Linked DNA regions of Macaca mulatta. The main gene of each other region encodes a partner of the protein of the gene in region 2 in a complex. Links are inferred from orthologs where the notes say so. Each region holds a gene or a part of one and is shown on either strand. Other genes may lie near its edges.

Region 1 (8,404 bases), on a different chromosome or scaffold from region 2:
CTCAAGGGCCTTAGGATTTTCCAAATGGTAAATGAGCACTGGCTTCTACTTCAGGTCACCAGCTGCATTAGTCCCTAACAAGCATGTCAGCCTTTGAAGCCGGGAAGCCAGGCATTGACTGTTCTCTAGCTATGAAAGTCCTACATGGCATCTTCTGTTTCATCTGCATTGCAAATGTGTAGTGTAGCCACGTTCTTCAAGATCATAGCTAGATCTTCTGAAGAACTTGCTGCAGCTTCTCCATCAGCAGTTACTGCTTTGCCTTGTACTTTATGTTACGGAGATGGCTTCTTTCCTTAAACTTCATGAACCAACAACCTCTGTCAGCTTTCAGATTCTTCTGCAGCCTCCTTACCTCTCTCAGCCTTCAAAGAATTGAAGTGAGCTAGGGCCTTGCTTTGGATTAGATTTGGCTTAAGGAAATGTGGCTGGTCTTTATCCAGACCACCCAAACGTTCTCAAAATGTGGTTCTTTATCCAGACCACTCAGACATTCTCCGTATCAGGAAATAAGGCTGTTTTGCTTTCTTATCATTTTTTTTTTTTAAAGAGATGGAGTCTCACTCTCACCCAGAACAGAATCCAGTGGTGTGATCATAGCTCATTGCGGCCTCAAACTCCTGGGGCTCAAGCGATCCTCCTGCATCAGCCTCCTGAGGAGCCGGGACTACAGGCATGCACCACACACAGCTTGCTTTCTTATCAAGTGTTCACTGGAGTAGCACTTGTTAATTTCCTTCATTAACTTTCTCTTTGCATTCACAGCTTGGCTGTTTGGTGCAAGAGGCCTAGCTTTGGGCCCATCTCAGCTTTGAATGCCTGCCTCACTAAGCATAATCATTTCTAGCTTCAGATTTAAAATGAGAGACTCAACTCTTTCTTTCACTTAACACTTAGAAGCCACTGTACTGTTATTGGCCTCATTTCAATATTGTTTCTCAGGGAATGGGGAGTCCGAGGAGAGGGAGAGAGATGGGGGAACGGTCAGAACACACACAACATTTATCGATTAAGCTTGCCATCTTATATGGGCCCAGTTCATGGCTCCCCAAAACAATTACAATAGTGACATCAAAGACCACAGATCACCATAAAAGATATAGTAATAATGAAAAAGCTTGAAATGTTGTGAGAGTTACCCAAATGTGATGCAGAGACACAAAGTGTGCACAAGCTGTTGGAAAAACGCTGCCGACTGACTTGCCTGCTGCAGGGCTGCCACAACCTGTAAAAATGCAGCACCTGTGAAGCGCCACCAAGCCACACATGATGGGGTGGGACACGCCTGGGCGTGGCTGGGGAAATAGTCACCCTTGTGGGTGTATAGCTCTTCAGATGTTTTGCACTAGAATGCAGGCATAAAGTCCCTTAATGTAATTTTTATTTCCAAACAACAATAATTTAAAAATCAGTTGGAGAGTGTCAGCAGGTGCTTCTAGGTTCTGTGCGGTGAGCCCCCAGGTCCTGGTGCGTAGGGCTCTGGATGTCTCTTTACACGGGATAGAAACACGGTCACGTGGGAATGCCAACATGACTTACTGCTTATTGTGCGGGCTTTTCTGCTTTATCAATTATGCCTCCAGGAAGCTGTCAAAGAAAGCTTCATCCATCTCCCACAGGATTTGTCTCCATATTTGTGATACATAATAAAATGTTATGTACTCTTTACATACTCTCCTAACTCATGGCTGCTTGTCACTTGTGGTGGCTTGTCACTGTGGTGGTTAATTTTTCCAGTGCGGTCCTTGTAGACTGTATTTCTTTTTTTTTTTTTGAGGGGTAATCTTGCTCTGTCGCCCAGGCTGGAGTACAGTGGCACAATCTCAGCTCACTGCAACCTCCACCTGCCGGGTTCAAGCAATTCTCATGCCTTAGCCTCCCCAGTAGCCAGGATTACAGGAGCACACCACCATGCCCGGCTAATTTCTGTATTTTTAGTAGAGATGGGGTTTCACTATGTAGGCCACCATGTACAAAAATACAAAAATTAGCTGGGTGTGATGGCAGGCACCTGTAATCCCAGCTACTCGGGAGGCTGAGGCACGAGAATCACTTGAACTCCTGAACTCAGATGATCCGTCTGCCTCGGCCTCCCAAAGTGCTGGGATTACTGAGCTACCACGCCCGGCCTAGACTGTGTTTCTTCACAGGTTGCTGATAAAAGTACCCTGCATTCCCAATCGAGATGATTTCTGACAGTTAGTTAACAAAAGACATCACCGTCTTACGATAGGAACTCAACACAGAACGTATGATGGAAAGCCATTTTATTTTTCCCTAAATTTTAAAATAGAAGACTTTAATGGAAAACATTTAGTACCATCATGTCACCCTGAATGCCAGCAATACCTCGACTTTTACACACGCAGGAGGCCTAGTAAAAGCCCCGTCAGTAGTACACATTTCTCTGCAGTCCTTTAGCAGTTTTGCATGTACGAAATTTTCTGCTATATTGCTTTAGCAAACAGCAACAAGTTTTGTGTTTCCTATATGATGCCTAAAATCCAGTCCTATATTAATATAGTTAGAAAAATAAAAGGCTTAAAAATTTCAGAGTATGAGTTCATGGTGCTAATAACAGAATCTCTTTAGACATAAGATCATTTTAAGCCTCCTACATAACCACCTTCTGGTTTCATTTGAAATACTTAAGAATTAAAATCTAGTAAGATTGTTAAATCAATGTACATGTTGATCATTTCTTTTCACTTGCCTTGGGAGAGTTAATTCCCACTGTCCACTGAATGAATGTCTTTCAAATATTAATAAGTATATTACAATATTTACAAGCATTCTTATACATTCCGACACTGACAGGGAGTTAAGCCATGGAGAGGGAAGCACAGGTTTCCCAATAGTGTGACTTTATGACGTACGGGATAAAAGGAACCGGTGCTCAGGCCTGGAGGGAGCTGAGAGGAGAGCAGGGATGATGGTTCAGAAATGCACACATGCTCTGAGACCAGCCAGACATCTATTTTGTTGTTGGATTAGAAGTAAAAGCTGAACAAGAAACCAGGACAAGGAAGGAAGAACTGGAAGCTATGCCTAAAGTCAGATTAGGCTAAGGATTTTAAAACCAAGCTCCACAAGCTCTTAGTGAATTACCCTATGGAAATTATCTAGCTTAGGTGAAGTGTTGAGGGGAGTGGTACAAAGGGGGGTTAAATGTAAGACTTTGTTTTGGCAACAAAAAATGATAGTAATTTGATTTCTACAACTTTCTGCCATGTGCCCTTTCTTACGCCAGTTTCTGCAGATTGTTTCATATGAACGTACCCTCCCCGTGACCTCTTTAATGCACTTGGCAAACTCCGTTAATGCTGTTGAAGAATGGATGTTCTATGCTGTGGTAAGAGGTGATCGTAATGCCCAAATCATCCCATACAGTATCATAAAGTGAAGTGAAAGACATTTACTAGATGTTTGCTTTGTGAATGTGAATGAAAGTCTTATTTTGGGGGTGTAGTTTCTTATGTTTTAATAAAAACAGTAGTCATTATTTTAAAAAGCACATTCTCCTAGGTGCATATTTATATACATATACAAATACCACTTCCTCCCCCTTGTGCCCTTCTGGGTAGTCATTTTAAAAACTCAAGCCTGGGGTCATCAAAGGGGGTAGATTTCTACTCCCACCTAACTGTCTGGAGTCTAGAGTTCAGATAGGCTCTTAGGAAGTTTTATAAATGAGATTCGCCCAGTACAATTCTTAAAGCTCTTAAACAGGAGTCTTTAAAATAATTTAAACACTTAAATTAAGTAATCAATAAGGGTTCTCTGGTGGCCCACTTTTACATGCAAATACAGACCAACTGTTAACATGCATTATTTTAGTCAACTGGTAAAGTTTATTTCATAAGTATAAGTAATTTTAAGCCATTTACTAAACTGTAAATTTCAACCCATTAAAAACTACCACCGGAGCAGTTTTGAGGTATTGCTGTTAATTTAGTAGAGAAATGTTACTGTATTTGACGTGGTATGAAATGCAGCCGCCATGCCTTTCATGACACGGTGCTGTCATGGTGCTGACTACAGACATGTCCTATGGCTTTCCGGAAATTACTGTGCATGTGCATTAACAGATTTTCCAAACTTTAATGGCAATTTGGTTGGTTGGTCATTTGTAAGCATACCAGAATAATAAAGTATAGCCCATGGTATGAGTCAAACACACTGAGACGTTTGAGGCATACAGTGCTACCCTCCAGTCTACTTTTGTCAGAAACCCAACCTACTCACTCAAACCATTTACAAGGAAAACTAGTGCAGAAAGCACCCAAAAATGTTGCCTGTCGGCAGGTTAATTTTCTTCTAACTTTAAAAGAAGTAGATATTTTTTCTTTTAAAATTCATTTATAAAAATAAATTTCAGTTTTTGAGACCCTAGGTACCAAATTGTGGCTTAATTTACTCAAGATGGACGTACTATAAAGTGATGAAAAATGTAGCTGAAAACGCATGAGCTCCAGCTCATTTCTGCAGCGCGGCCAACAGCTGCCACTGTACGCGGTCACAACCCTTCTCATAGGTAACCAAAATATGCGCAACTTCTTGACAAACTTTTAGCCTTCCTTTGTCCTGAAACTCCCACAAAACTTCAATTCTTAGACCTCCATTATAAAACTATTAGTAACCATAATACATTCAAGATAGAGAATGAAGACCTGTCATCCACTCAGGAGACACTGATCCAGGGCACTGGGACAACACGGCCACTCAGGGGAAATAGTCACCCTTGTGGGTGTACAGCTCTTCAGATGTTTTGCACTAGAATGCAGGCATAAAGTCCCTTATGTAATTTTCATCTCCAAGCAACAATAATTTAAAAATCAGTTGGAGAGTGTCAGCAGGTGCTTCTAGGTTCTGTGCGGCGAGCCCCCAGGTCCTGGTGCGTAGGGCTCTGGATCTCTCTGTACACGGGAGAGAAACACGGTCACGTGGAAATGCCAATATGACTTACTGCTTAGGGCTGTGCTGACATCGGCGTCTCTGCTAGACTGATTCTCACAGGAGAAGCTTTTGATTTTTTTGCCTTAGTCAGGAGATTATTCGAGGAACAGTAAAGAACTGAACTAAGGAAGTAGTTACTGGCTCCCGAAGCCACACAGACACAAAAGTAAGTTTCAAACTGTTGTCCTCTCTCAGTGCAAACGAGCAATTGGCGGACCTGTCACGTTTCATCAATTGATATGAACACAGCATTCAGTCTGTGGAACAATGTGATGCAGCAAAAATCTGATCTAATGCAAATTCAAGCCCATTAAATAAAACCACAGAAAGGAGTGCCAGCCCGGCTCAGTGTTCTCGCGCACGGACGCTGACTCTAAGCACAAAAGCAGCTGAAAGGCACGAGGCTCAGATCTCACTGATCGTCCTCTCCGAAGGGCAGTACTCCGAGGGGCCTGGTGGGGACATGTAGAAAGACTGCGTTTTCCTTTTCAATCGGGCCCGTTTGTTGGCCAACACCAGACTGCGCCGGCTTGAACTGATGATTTCCGAAATGAACTTCTTGCAGTCCACACACACCTCCATGGTGCTCCAGTCCTCCATCAACTCTTTGGGAAACTGGAGTTCTTCATCTGATTTGTCCATAGACTTAGATTTTGAGGAGAACCTGGGGTAAAAACAACAGAAAACCAAACAGAAGCCCAGCATCGTTACTTATAGGTCTACTGCAGTAAGAAGAAAGTCTGTGAAATAAAGAGTAAATTTGTTGTCAAAACATCATGGAATGGATGAGTGATTTAATCATATGTCCTTCTAAAAAAATTTCTTATTGGAGACAAGGCTAAAAAATATTACTTAGAAAAGAAAGTAGGAGGCCAGGTGCGGTGGCTCACGCCTGTAATCCCAGCACTTTGGGAGGCCGAGGCAGGCGGATCACCTGAGGTCAGGAGTTTGAGGCCAGCCTGGCTAACACGGCGAAACCCAGTCTCTACTAAAAAAAGAAAAAAATTAGCTGGGCATGGTGGCAGGCCCCGTAATCCCCACTATTCGGGAGGCTGAGGCAGGAGAATTGCTTGAACCTGGGAGGTGGAGGTTGTAGTGAGCTGAGATGGCACCGCTGCACTCCAGCCAGGGTGACAAAAGCGAAACTGTCTCAAAAAAAAAAAGAAAAAAAAAGACAGAAAAATGAAAGAAAGCAGGAAACATGTCTTATAAGATAGGCGCTGCCCAGGCCGGGCACGGTGGCTTATTCCTGTAATTCCAGCACTTTGGGAGGCCCAGGCAGGCGGATCACGAGGTCAGGAGATGGAGACCATCCTGGCTAACGTGGTGAAACCCCGTCTCTACTAAATATACAAAAAACAATTTGCGAGGTGAGGTGGTGGACGCCTGTAGTCTCAGCTACACAGGAGGCTGAGGCAGGAGTATGGCGTGAACCCAGGAGGCGGGGCTTGCAGTCAGCCGAGATAGCGCCATTGCACTCCAGCCTGGGCGACAGAGCGAGACTCCGCATCACAAAAAAAAAAAAAAAAAAAAAAAAAGGCGCTGCCCAGACTATCGAACAATACAGTCAGGATGGCTAAAGGTGACCCCAAGAAACCAAAGGGCAAGATGTCTGCTTATGCCTTCTTTGTGCAGATGTGCAGAGAACATAAGAAAAGCCCAGAGGGCTCTGTCAATTTTGCAGAATTTTCCAAGTGCTCTGAAAGGTGGAAGACAATGTCTGGGAAAGAGAAGTCTAAATTTGATGAAATGGCAAAGGTGGATAAAGTACAGTACCATTGAGAAATGAAGGATTATGGACCAGCTAAGGGTGGCAAGAAGAAGGATCCTAATGCCCTGAGAAGGCCACCATCTGGATTCTTCCTGCTCTGTTCAGAATTCCACCCCAAGATCAAATTCATAAACTCTGGCATCTCTATTGGAGACGTGGCAAAAAAGCTGGGTGAGGTGTGGAATAACTTAAATGACAGTGAAAAGGAGCCTTATACCACTGAGGCGGCAAAGCTGAAGGAAAAGTGTGAGAAGGATGTTTCTGACTATAATTCGAAAGGAAAGTTTGATGGAGAAAAGGGTCCTGCTAAAGTTGCCCAGAAAAGGGTGGAAGAGGAAGATGAAGATGAAGAAGATGAAAAGGAAGAAGGAGAGGAGGAGGAGGAAGATGAATAAAGAAACTGTTTATCTGAAAAAACAAAACAAAACAAAACTAAAAACTCTTTTGTTTTTTTTTTTCCTGAGACGGAGTTTCGCTCTTGTTGCCCAGGCTGGAGTGCAATGGCGTGATCTCGGCTCACTGTAACCTCTGCCTCCCAGGTTCAAGCGATTCTCCTGCCTCAGCCTCCCAAGTAGCTGGGATTACAGGCATGTGCCACCACACCCGGCTAATTTTGTTTTTTTTTTTTTTTTTTTTGAGACGGAGTCTGGCTCTGTTGCCCAGGCTGGAGTGCAGTGGCCGGATCTCAGCTCACTGCAAGCACCGCCTCCCGGGTTCACACCATTCTCCTGCCTCAGCCTCCCGAGTAGCTGGGAGTACAGGCGCCCGCCACCTCGCCCGGCTAATTTTTTTTGTATTTTAGTAGAGACGGGGTTTCACCATCACCCAGGATGGTCTCGATCTCCTGACCTCGTGATCCGCCCGTCTCGGCCTCCCAAAGTGCTGGGATTACAGGCTTGAGCCACCGCGCCCGGCCTAATTTTGTATTTTTAGTAGAGACGGGGTTTCTCCACGTTGGTCAGGCTGGTCTCAAACTCCCGACCTCAGGTAATCCGCCCACCTCGGCCTCCCAAAGTGCTGGGATTACAGGCGTGAGCCACCACGCCTGGCCAAAAAAACTAAAAACTCTTAACCACCCTTCTAGAATTCTTGGAAAATAGGGTATTCACCTGATTCCCAGTGAACATTAGCTAACCGTAGATGGCAGATCAGACAATAGGAAATTTAAATAAATTTATCTTAATCCCATGACACATCCTAAAAAACTATCTTTTGACCAGTTTTCTCATCATTTATGTATTTATCAAACAAGCCTCTCCCTCCCCAACAATTCCCTGTATTTGGGCAATTATTTATTGGGATTCCAAGGAGATGGAGTTAACCAGACCAACATCATAATAAATGTTTCCAGGAATGTCTGAGATAACCAGGAATTGTCTACTTATTTACTTTTTTTTTTTTTTTTTTGAGACGGAGTCTCGCTCTGTCACCCAGGCTGGAGTGCAGTGGCGCCATCTCGGCTCACTGCAAGCTCCGCCTCCCGGGTTCACGCCATTCTTCTGCCTCAGCCTCCCGAGTAGCTGGGACCACAGGCGCCCGCCACCTCGCCCGGCTAATTTTTTGTATTTTTAGTAGAGATGGGGTTTCACCATGTTGGCCAGGATAGTCTCAATCTCCTGACCTCGTGATCCGCCCGCCTTGGCCTCCCAAAGTGCTGGGATTACAGGAGTGAGCCAC
Region 2 (8,404 bases):
TGTATTGATCAGTCAATGAAAATGTTGTGACCCCAGAGGCTCACAGGAGCCCTATATTTTTTCTGGCAGTAATAGTTCAGTATATGCTGATTCCGTGCCCAGTCCGTAAATAGCAAGAATCGACCGTGTGTGTGTGTGTACACATAAGTATGTATATATGTGTGCATGTGTGTATATGAGAGTGAGAGGGCCAAAGATTACTGAGGTGGAGTTAACTAAGCCCCAGAGAGAAAAAGGGAGCAGAAGAGATCATATCATGTACACATAGTTGTAGAGAACAAGAAAGGAACAAGAAACGGGCAGAGATAAAGTGACAGTTCCCTCGACTCGCCATGAAGTTTACTGTCAGCCCAGGGCAGCTTTATTTCTTTCTGACGTGAGCAGAAATGGTCTAATAGAGTACAGGGTATAAAGGACTGTGCAATTAGTACTTCATGTGTGCTGAATAGTTTGGGGAGTGCCTCTAGAGTACTAATAGAAAGTCACTTTGTTCTGAAGACATTGATGAATTTCATCCTTCTCTTGTATCTTTAATTATTACTCTGGTTTACCTTAGCCATCTTTTTGCTCTTACAGCTGCCTTTTGATTTGTTTTTGTGTTGTTTAAGACCCAGGGAAATTTACTGTGTCCGTGGAGTAGGATTCTAGTCATTCAACCCCACGTTGAGTCTATTCAACAGCTAGATTGAGTCTATATTAAGGTGTCTAAACAAAATCAAACTAAGAAACCTAATTATGTCACCAAACTGTAGCAAACAAGCAAACTGTAGCTTGTATCCAAGCTGGATTTTTTTAATGAGGTTTTGGATATAGAAAGGGGTTGGGCTTGGAGGTAGGTGACTAACCAACTCTCTGGTAGAAACTCTTTCCTTTAAAAGAATAAAGAGATTATAGGGATTGGAGACCTTTATGTGTTATACTTTGGTGGGGACTTGTGTGTCTTAAAACAACTCTTGCCTTTTCTGTATTTTTAGCTGTAATGTTCTTTTAGAATATTACCCAAGTCTCTCATTTGCCAGAAAGATCGGTATTAGTCTGTCCTGTAATATGGCTTTACATGGTCTTATGATATTATTTGTGAGGCTGACTCTCATAGGTAACTGACAAATGAATGAAGTAGTATTTGCTCAAGTAGTAAAATTCTTGAGCAAAGCCACAAATAACTGGGGAGAAAAGTAAGATTACTGTGCAATTGAAATTCTAGAAGAGTTTTAATTTTTGGAGTAGCTTAGAATATTTACAGTAAAATGTACCTCCTTTACTTCTTTGTATTCTTTTGATGCGTCACATTCCAAATGCAAAATTTATGAAACTGTCAGAGGATCAACTTCTCTGGCAGATCTCTCATCAGTTCTTCCCTCGTTAAAAGAAGCTTCTTTTGAGACAAGTCTTTGTTAGTTAATCCTATCAACTGAAAACCTGCATTTCAAAACAATCAGTAAATACAAAGCAGAACCTCGCTTTGTTTAGGTGGTATCTATCAATTCTCTTGAAATCTATCAGGCTCTAGCTTCTGTAGCAGTTCTTGGCTGAGCTGCTTGTCTATTTAAACAGAAATAATATTGAAAGAATATTAACTTCTGAAGACTGGACTCAGAAATCATAATATGGTGGTCTATTCTTAATGCATGTAGAAAATGTGATATTTTGGCTCTTTTAATACACCTTTGTGAGTTGTAAAATAAAGACAGGACTACAAATAAAAATAATCCAAATACTCTATAAAATACAGATTTGTGCTTCCTGAAGTCTATAAAATCTCCTACCCTATATTAATATTAAAAATGTACAGGATCTTCTCTCATAAGGAAACACAGTTAGAATGACAAATTTTTAGTTTGAGATTATAAAGGGTGACAGAAGACACTTAAGAAGAAAATAAGCATGGAGTCATTTTTGTATCAAAAAGAAAATCCAGGCCAGGTGCAGTGACTCATGCCTGTAATCCCAGCAGTTTGGGAGGCCGAGATGGGTGGATCACCTGAGGTCAGGAGTTCAAGACTAGCCTGGCCAACATGGTGAAACCTCGTCTCTACTAAAAATACAAAAAATGAGCTGGATGTAGTGGCAGGTGCCTGTAATCCCAGCTACTTAGGAGGCTGAGGCAGGAGAATCACTTGAACCCGGGAGGCGCAGGTTGCAGTGAGCAGATGTCATGCCATTGTACTCCCACCTGGGCGACTACTTTATAAAATGAAATGCTTGTGTTCTAGAAAGTATTATAAACAGCCAAAATAACAAAGGAAAACTATTGTTTTAAAGCATGCTTGAATGAATAAACATTTCTGAATAGTTATGAATAAACATAACTATTCAGATCACTAATAGTTAATAACATTATTTGGAAGATTTGGGGATAATCTGGCTCACATTAAACATATTTACACTTTATTTTATTTTATTTTACTTTACTTTGTTTTATTTTATTTATTTATTTATTTATTTATTTATTTATTTGAGATGGAGTCTCACTCTGTCACCCAGGCTGGAGTTCAGTGGTACAATCTCAGCTCACTGCAACCTCCTCCTCCCAGGTTCAGGCGATTCTCCTGCCTCAGCCTCTCAAGTAGCTGGGATTACAGGCACCCGCCACCACGCCCCACTAATTTTTGTATTTTTAGTAGAGATGGGGTTTCACCATATTGGCCAGGCCAGTCCTCAAACACCTGACCTCAGGTGATCCACCCCCCTTGGCCTCCCAAAGTGCTGGGATTACAGGCATGAGCCACTGCACCCGGCCATATTTAGACTTTCAAATGCCTCATGAATTAAGTCAAGCTTTACTACAAACAGATGCTAAGAAACATGAAAACAGATAGAGTTTTGCTGTATTCAGATCAGTACATTTATCAAGATAATTAGATTATTTAAGGGATTCAGTTGGCCAGACTTTGAAAAACTGTTTGGTTTTTGTTTTTCTAGAGAGCACAGTCAGACGAACTGGAAAAAATAGAAAAGCATGGCCGGTCTTCCAAAGACAAGGAAAATGCCAAGTCTCTGGACAAACCTGAGCAGTAAGCATGCCTTATAGCCGTGCAGAGGGCGTCCAGGCCATGGGTGGGCCCGTTTTGTTTGGAAAATGCAATGCAGTGTCTTCAGTGCATACTTGTTATGAATGAGATGAGAATAAACATCTGTGGATGTGAATTATATTTTTCTTCTTAACTTGGCTTTATTTCCTTAGGTTCCTTTATGAACTGTCACTAATCCCCAACTTTTCAGAGCGAGTCTTTTGCATCCTGTTCCAGTCCACGTTTTCAGAAAGCATTTGCTCAATTCATCGCAAACTGGAATTACTACAGAAATTGTGTGAGGTAAGTTCTGGTCCAAAGAGAGCTGAACTTGAATCTCATTTAATTGTGCTCAGTCATGTTCATATTTCAGAAAAGCGTTCTTTTATTTACTCGAAGTACTCACCAAATTTGACGGATCACAGTCCCACAGAAGGGAACATTTTATGATTGACCTTCAAGATCAAAGCAAATGTTCCGAGGGGTGCCCAGGGCTGCAAGACCACATTGCTAGAATGTGGCCAGTACATGTTGGCCTCCAGAGACTTCTGTGTCCTCTCCTTTTGCCAAAACAAAATCTTCAGTTTTCACGGTCCTCTCAGACATCAGACTTCCAAAGGAATGTGATTTGAAGGCATTTTTCTTTACTTTCTTTCGTTGTCAGGAAGGACTCCTCCACAAATTGTTAATAATTATTCCAGCCAAATAATTTAGGAACAGCCATATGACTCAACAGAAGACAGATATTCCTCTGAAAACAAAAAATAAATGCTTGGCAGAAACAACCAATGTTAACATTTAAAACAATTTGTCAAATATCAGTAGTACCATTTGTTCTAGTTGCGGTAAATCATTTTGAAAAGTGAAAAGATGTTCTTAAAGGCTCACATTTTCAGAAGAAGTGACATGCAAATTTAAGTTAAACACAGTGTTTTGAAAGAAATGAGTGTGAGCTCTTTGGGGGTAAACCTAAATTTAGAAATTAATCTCTGCGTCTGCTTTTTGGTTTCCTCTGCTGAGGCCAAAAAATTTGTTTTGTTCCAGACATAGGCACAATTAAGACAATGGCAGATATATTAGTGATGTTATTTTGTAATGGTTCTCATTTGGCCTTATTTAATAGTTCTCATATATCCTTATTCTCATATAGCCTTAGTTCCCATATAGCCTTAATAGTTCTCACACAACCTTGTTTTCCTTGCGATTACATCATAGACATGGCCTAACATAGCATCCCCCAGCTTACAGAGGCATACCTGAATGTTTGTGGGTGGTGCAGCTTTTACTAACTTTCAAGATACTGCTCTTAACATATACCTAATAATTAGGAATGATAAAGTTTGGTTGTGACCCAAAACTACTAATATAAATAGCTGGCATTGACTTGATGATTCAAACAAAACCTGGTATAGAAGTTGTTTTTTGTTGTTGTTCTGTTTCACAGACGTTAAAAAATGGCCCAGGGGTTATGCAGGTTCTAGGTTTGGTTCTTGCCTTTGGCAACTACATGAATGGAGGAAATAAGACTCGAGGACAGGCAGATGGCTTTGGATTAGACATTCTTCCAAAACTGAAAGATGTCAAGAGCAGTGTAAGTATTTTGCATGAGTGGACATAGGCAAATTGAGAATTCAATGTTTTGTTTAGTAATAAGTCTGAATGTAAAGCAGTTGTAATAAATATTTCTTTTATGTTCCTAGGCCAAATGTTTCTTTATGTTCTGAGCTAGAAAAAAGTAATGTCCATCAGATATTTGTGATTAATAATGTTTCCTAAAGTGAATAATTTTTATTCTTATGTCTAATTAATAATTACAACTTTTTAATATAAAAACAATATAAAATAACTTTTTATATTGTTTTAATATAAAAACAATAATTTCTTTTACTGTATCTTTCCCATGTCTGCTAATATTTATCCTTTTGGAATCTGAAGGCTAATTATTTTCTATGAGTTAGACAGTGTATCTCTTGTTTTTTTCTTTGTCATGTCAAGCAATGGAGGCCAATAGGTCCACATTTTGAAAATAACACAAAGATGAATAAAATGGCTTGTAAATAAAATATAAAAGATGATTCTACTCTGCTGCATATGATTTTCTCCTTGATACTGGTGCGTCGGGGGATGTCTAAGCCCTCTTGCAGACCTAATTATTTTTGGTACTACTTCTGCAGTTGTGTTTGTTTGAAATTAATATCTAAGCAATTGTGAGAGTGCCAGGAGAAATATGAGGTTAGGAATGATGGTTAGAGTCACAGAATGAAGTCTGAGATGATAAACTTAAAAAATAAAAGAGTTACATTTCTCTAATAAAAGAATCATCACACAAAAAAGTAAGATAAAGGAAATTCTGGACATGTTTTTGAAATATTAAGTTTAATAATTGGCTTGTAGAAATAAAAATATGTAGGATTGTCCTTCCTAGATAATGAAATAATTTCCTTCATGGGAGAGAGAGAGACTTTTAGACTGAGGCAGGACAATGGCATGAACACGGGAGGCAGAGCTTGCAGTGAGCCGAGATCGCACCACTGCACTCCAGCCTGGGTGACAGAGCGAGACTCCATCTCAAAAAAAAAAAAATATTTTCTGCCAGCCAACAATTTGTTTATTATTTTATATACAGATGATTCTCAATGTAAAATGGAGTTATGGCCTGATAAACCCATCCTAAGTTGAAAATACCATAAGTGAAAAGGCATTCAATACATCTAACCTAGTAAGCATCAAAGCTTAGCCTAGCCTGCCTCAAACATGCTCAGAACACTTACCTCAGCCTACAGTTGGGCAAATCATCTAACACAAAGCCTATTTTATAATAAAGTGCTGAATATCACATGTAATTTATTGAATACTGTGCTGCAAGTGACAAACAGAATGCTTGTATGGGTACTCAAAGTATAGTTTCTACTGAATGTGTATCACTTTTGTACCATTGTAAAGTCAAAAAATTGTAAGATGAACCATTGTAAGTCAGCGTCTGTGTGTGTGTGTGTGTGTGTGTGTGTGTGTGTGTGTGTGGTCAAATTAATACAGATATTCATTCAACATTCTTTCATTGAGCATCTATGGAACATGGACACTGCTTTTCCAACACTGAATAATTCGTAGTTCTTCCCTGGTACACCCACACATATGATGTTTTTATTTTTATAATTGTTTGTTCAAATGCTCATGTGTATGATACACATTTTCATAGAAGTCTTACTATAGAGAGCTGATAAATTACATTTGTTTAAAAAAAATGCTTAAGCCAAGTGCAATAGCATGAGCCCATAATCCCAGCTACTTGGGAGGACTTTTCGAGGCCAACCTGGGTTATACAGTGAGACCCCTTCTCAAAAAAAAAAAAAAAAAAAAAAAGAAAGAAAAGAAGTCCTTTTCTTAACCTATGGTGATTCTTGAATACTCAGCAACTGCTTGTTGGAGTGAAACAACTTTTGCAAATAATATTGAAATACATAGCATCAATATCATGTTTAAATTATAGAAATGAACTGGAAGTAGATTCTAGTGATCATATACAAATAAGAGATTATTTGTGGGACTTTTTTGGTATCAGTTTATATATTGTATTCAATCCTCTATTAGATTAAATGTCATTAATTTAGATAATCAAGGGGTAATCTAAAATAAAAATTTTAATATGTAATCAAGAAATAAGTTTTTAAAATAGTTTCACTTGTACTCAGAAGAGCTATGCAAAGTCTTCCTGAATTGGTTCTTTCTCTGTAAAACAAATGTAACTATACTTATTCCTTAGTACTGTTTATAGACCTCCATGGACAGAGCTGTTACTTTGATCACTTAGAATTTTCTCTTAGCACACCAAGTTTTGTTAATTGATTCAGGTGCTGCCAGCCATTTCACTGAATTACAAGTTGGGAGAGAGAAGGGAACTCAAGTTGCTTAAATCATGTTACAAGCAAATCCTGTCTAATGAGGGGTGTCTTTAATAGCTATATTACTGACTCATGTCAAACTTGATTATAAAGAGGTTTTGCTCTTTTTACAAATATAGAAAAAATCGTGGTTATATTAAACATTCCAGAGAATGTAGTTTGTATCATAGGGTTTGTTTTTAAAGTAAAATATATACCTGAGCTCTCAAATTCAGATTATCTACTACTACTTTGGAAGAATACACAAAAAAAGCTAAATAAAAATTAATGCCCCTAAATAAACCAGAAAGGAGGTGAAAAGGTATTTTTGAAATGTGTTAGATATGAAACAATTTTACCTTTTTTTAAATAGAACTACCCACATTGTCTTATTTATAAACACATGAGTATTAATTTGTCAAATCCCAATTGCTGACATAACAAATTATAATATTGGAATTGTTAAAAGCTCCCCTTTACTTAATATTGGAATTGTTAAAAGCTCCCCTTTACTTAAAATGATACTTAGCTTTTTTATTTCCCTAATCTATATGCTAATGAGCCTCAATCAAAGTTACTGTTGGAGTGGTACCTATTTGTTCAGCTATATATCAATGCTAGCAATGTTTAATTATTTCCTTTAAGATAGTAGTTTTAAAACAAAAAATTATCAAACAAAACAATAAAAACACAAAATAATAAAATATACAAGACATGAGCTAAATTTCTAATTGAGGGGGGTAACAATTGGAAAGTATTTACAGTTTAGACTTTGCCCCTAAATAGCTATGCTAAGATTGGAACACTGGGGAGAAAAATCTTTTAAGCCATCAAACTCCTTAGACACAATGGCCAAGACAATTCAAAATGTAAAATTTCACATTACATTCCAAATGTTCTCATGTATATATATGAATTTACTAGAATCTTTTTTGGTAACACTTTATATTTAATTAGTTAAAAAATACGTTGTCACTGACTTTGGTCTTTCTGCCTAGGACAATAGCAGAAGCCTTTTGTCATATATTGTTTCGTATTATCTCCGAAATTTTGATGAGGTAAGACAATTTTTACATCTCGTCACATTCCATTATTCTTTATTTGTTGGATGATTTGGCAGTACTTTTTGTTGTTGTTTTTGGTTTGGAGATACCTGCCATTATTCTTTTTTATGTTGATAACCAATTTCTTTGACTATAATGGGGTTTTTTGTTCATTAGGATGCTGGAAAAGAACAGTGCCTCTTTCCACTGCCAGAACCCCAGGACCTTTTCCAGGCCTCACAGATGAAGTTTGAAGATTTTCAAAAAGATCTCAGAAAACTGAAGAAAGACTTGAAAGGTAACTTAAAATCCTGAACTCATGTTTTCTGTTTATGCTTTTTTAATGAGAGAAGGCAGACTTTTCAATGTTTTTAGAGAAAAGTAATCTTTTTTATCTTTATAGAACTAAATTTGTGTGTGTGTGGCAAAAGAACAATTTTGCCTATATTCTTTGGTTGTTTAAAACGTT

What was found.
Region 1: the proteins of FMN2 (region 2) and SPIRE1 are in contact, whole or in part, in a crystal structure (PDB 2YLE), measured with the Homo sapiens proteins. The link is inferred for Macaca mulatta from reciprocal best matches to the Homo sapiens genes FMN2 and SPIRE1. Residues at the interface, in NP_064450.3 of Homo sapiens: Ser1702, Leu1703, Lys1705, Ile1706, Lys1707, Pro1708, Arg1709, His1710, Gly1713, Ile1714, Lys1715, Lys1717, Ile1718, Lys1721, Thr1722; in NP_001122098.1 of Homo sapiens: Gln51, Pro52, Ile53, Asn54, Glu127, Ile131, Tyr134, Lys135, Asp138, Leu141, Lys142, Glu143, Asn144, Glu145, Glu146, Arg147, Glu148, Glu154, Ile157, Asp158, Ala161, Asn162, Thr163, Val164, Glu165.

The regions. Positions count from the first base shown.
Region 1 is NC_133423.1:83,138,873-83,147,276, forward strand, and holds the end of SPIRE1 (protein spire homolog 1), read right to left. Parts: intron 7,269-8,404; exon of another isoform or gene 6,508-7,268; intron 5,621-6,507; coding exon 5,362-5,620; 3' UTR 2,251-5,361; downstream 1-2,250.
Region 2 is NC_133406.1:8,762,440-8,770,843, reverse strand, and holds part of FMN2 (formin-2), read left to right. Parts: intron 1-2,922; coding exon 2,923-3,014; intron 3,015-3,184; coding exon 3,185-3,314; intron 3,315-4,455; coding exon 4,456-4,602; intron 4,603-7,890; coding exon 7,891-7,950; intron 7,951-8,112; coding exon 8,113-8,233; intron 8,234-8,404. UniProt on the Homo sapiens protein: Actin-binding protein that is involved in actin cytoskeleton assembly and reorganization. Acts as an actin nucleation factor and promotes assembly of actin filaments together with SPIRE1 and SPIRE2.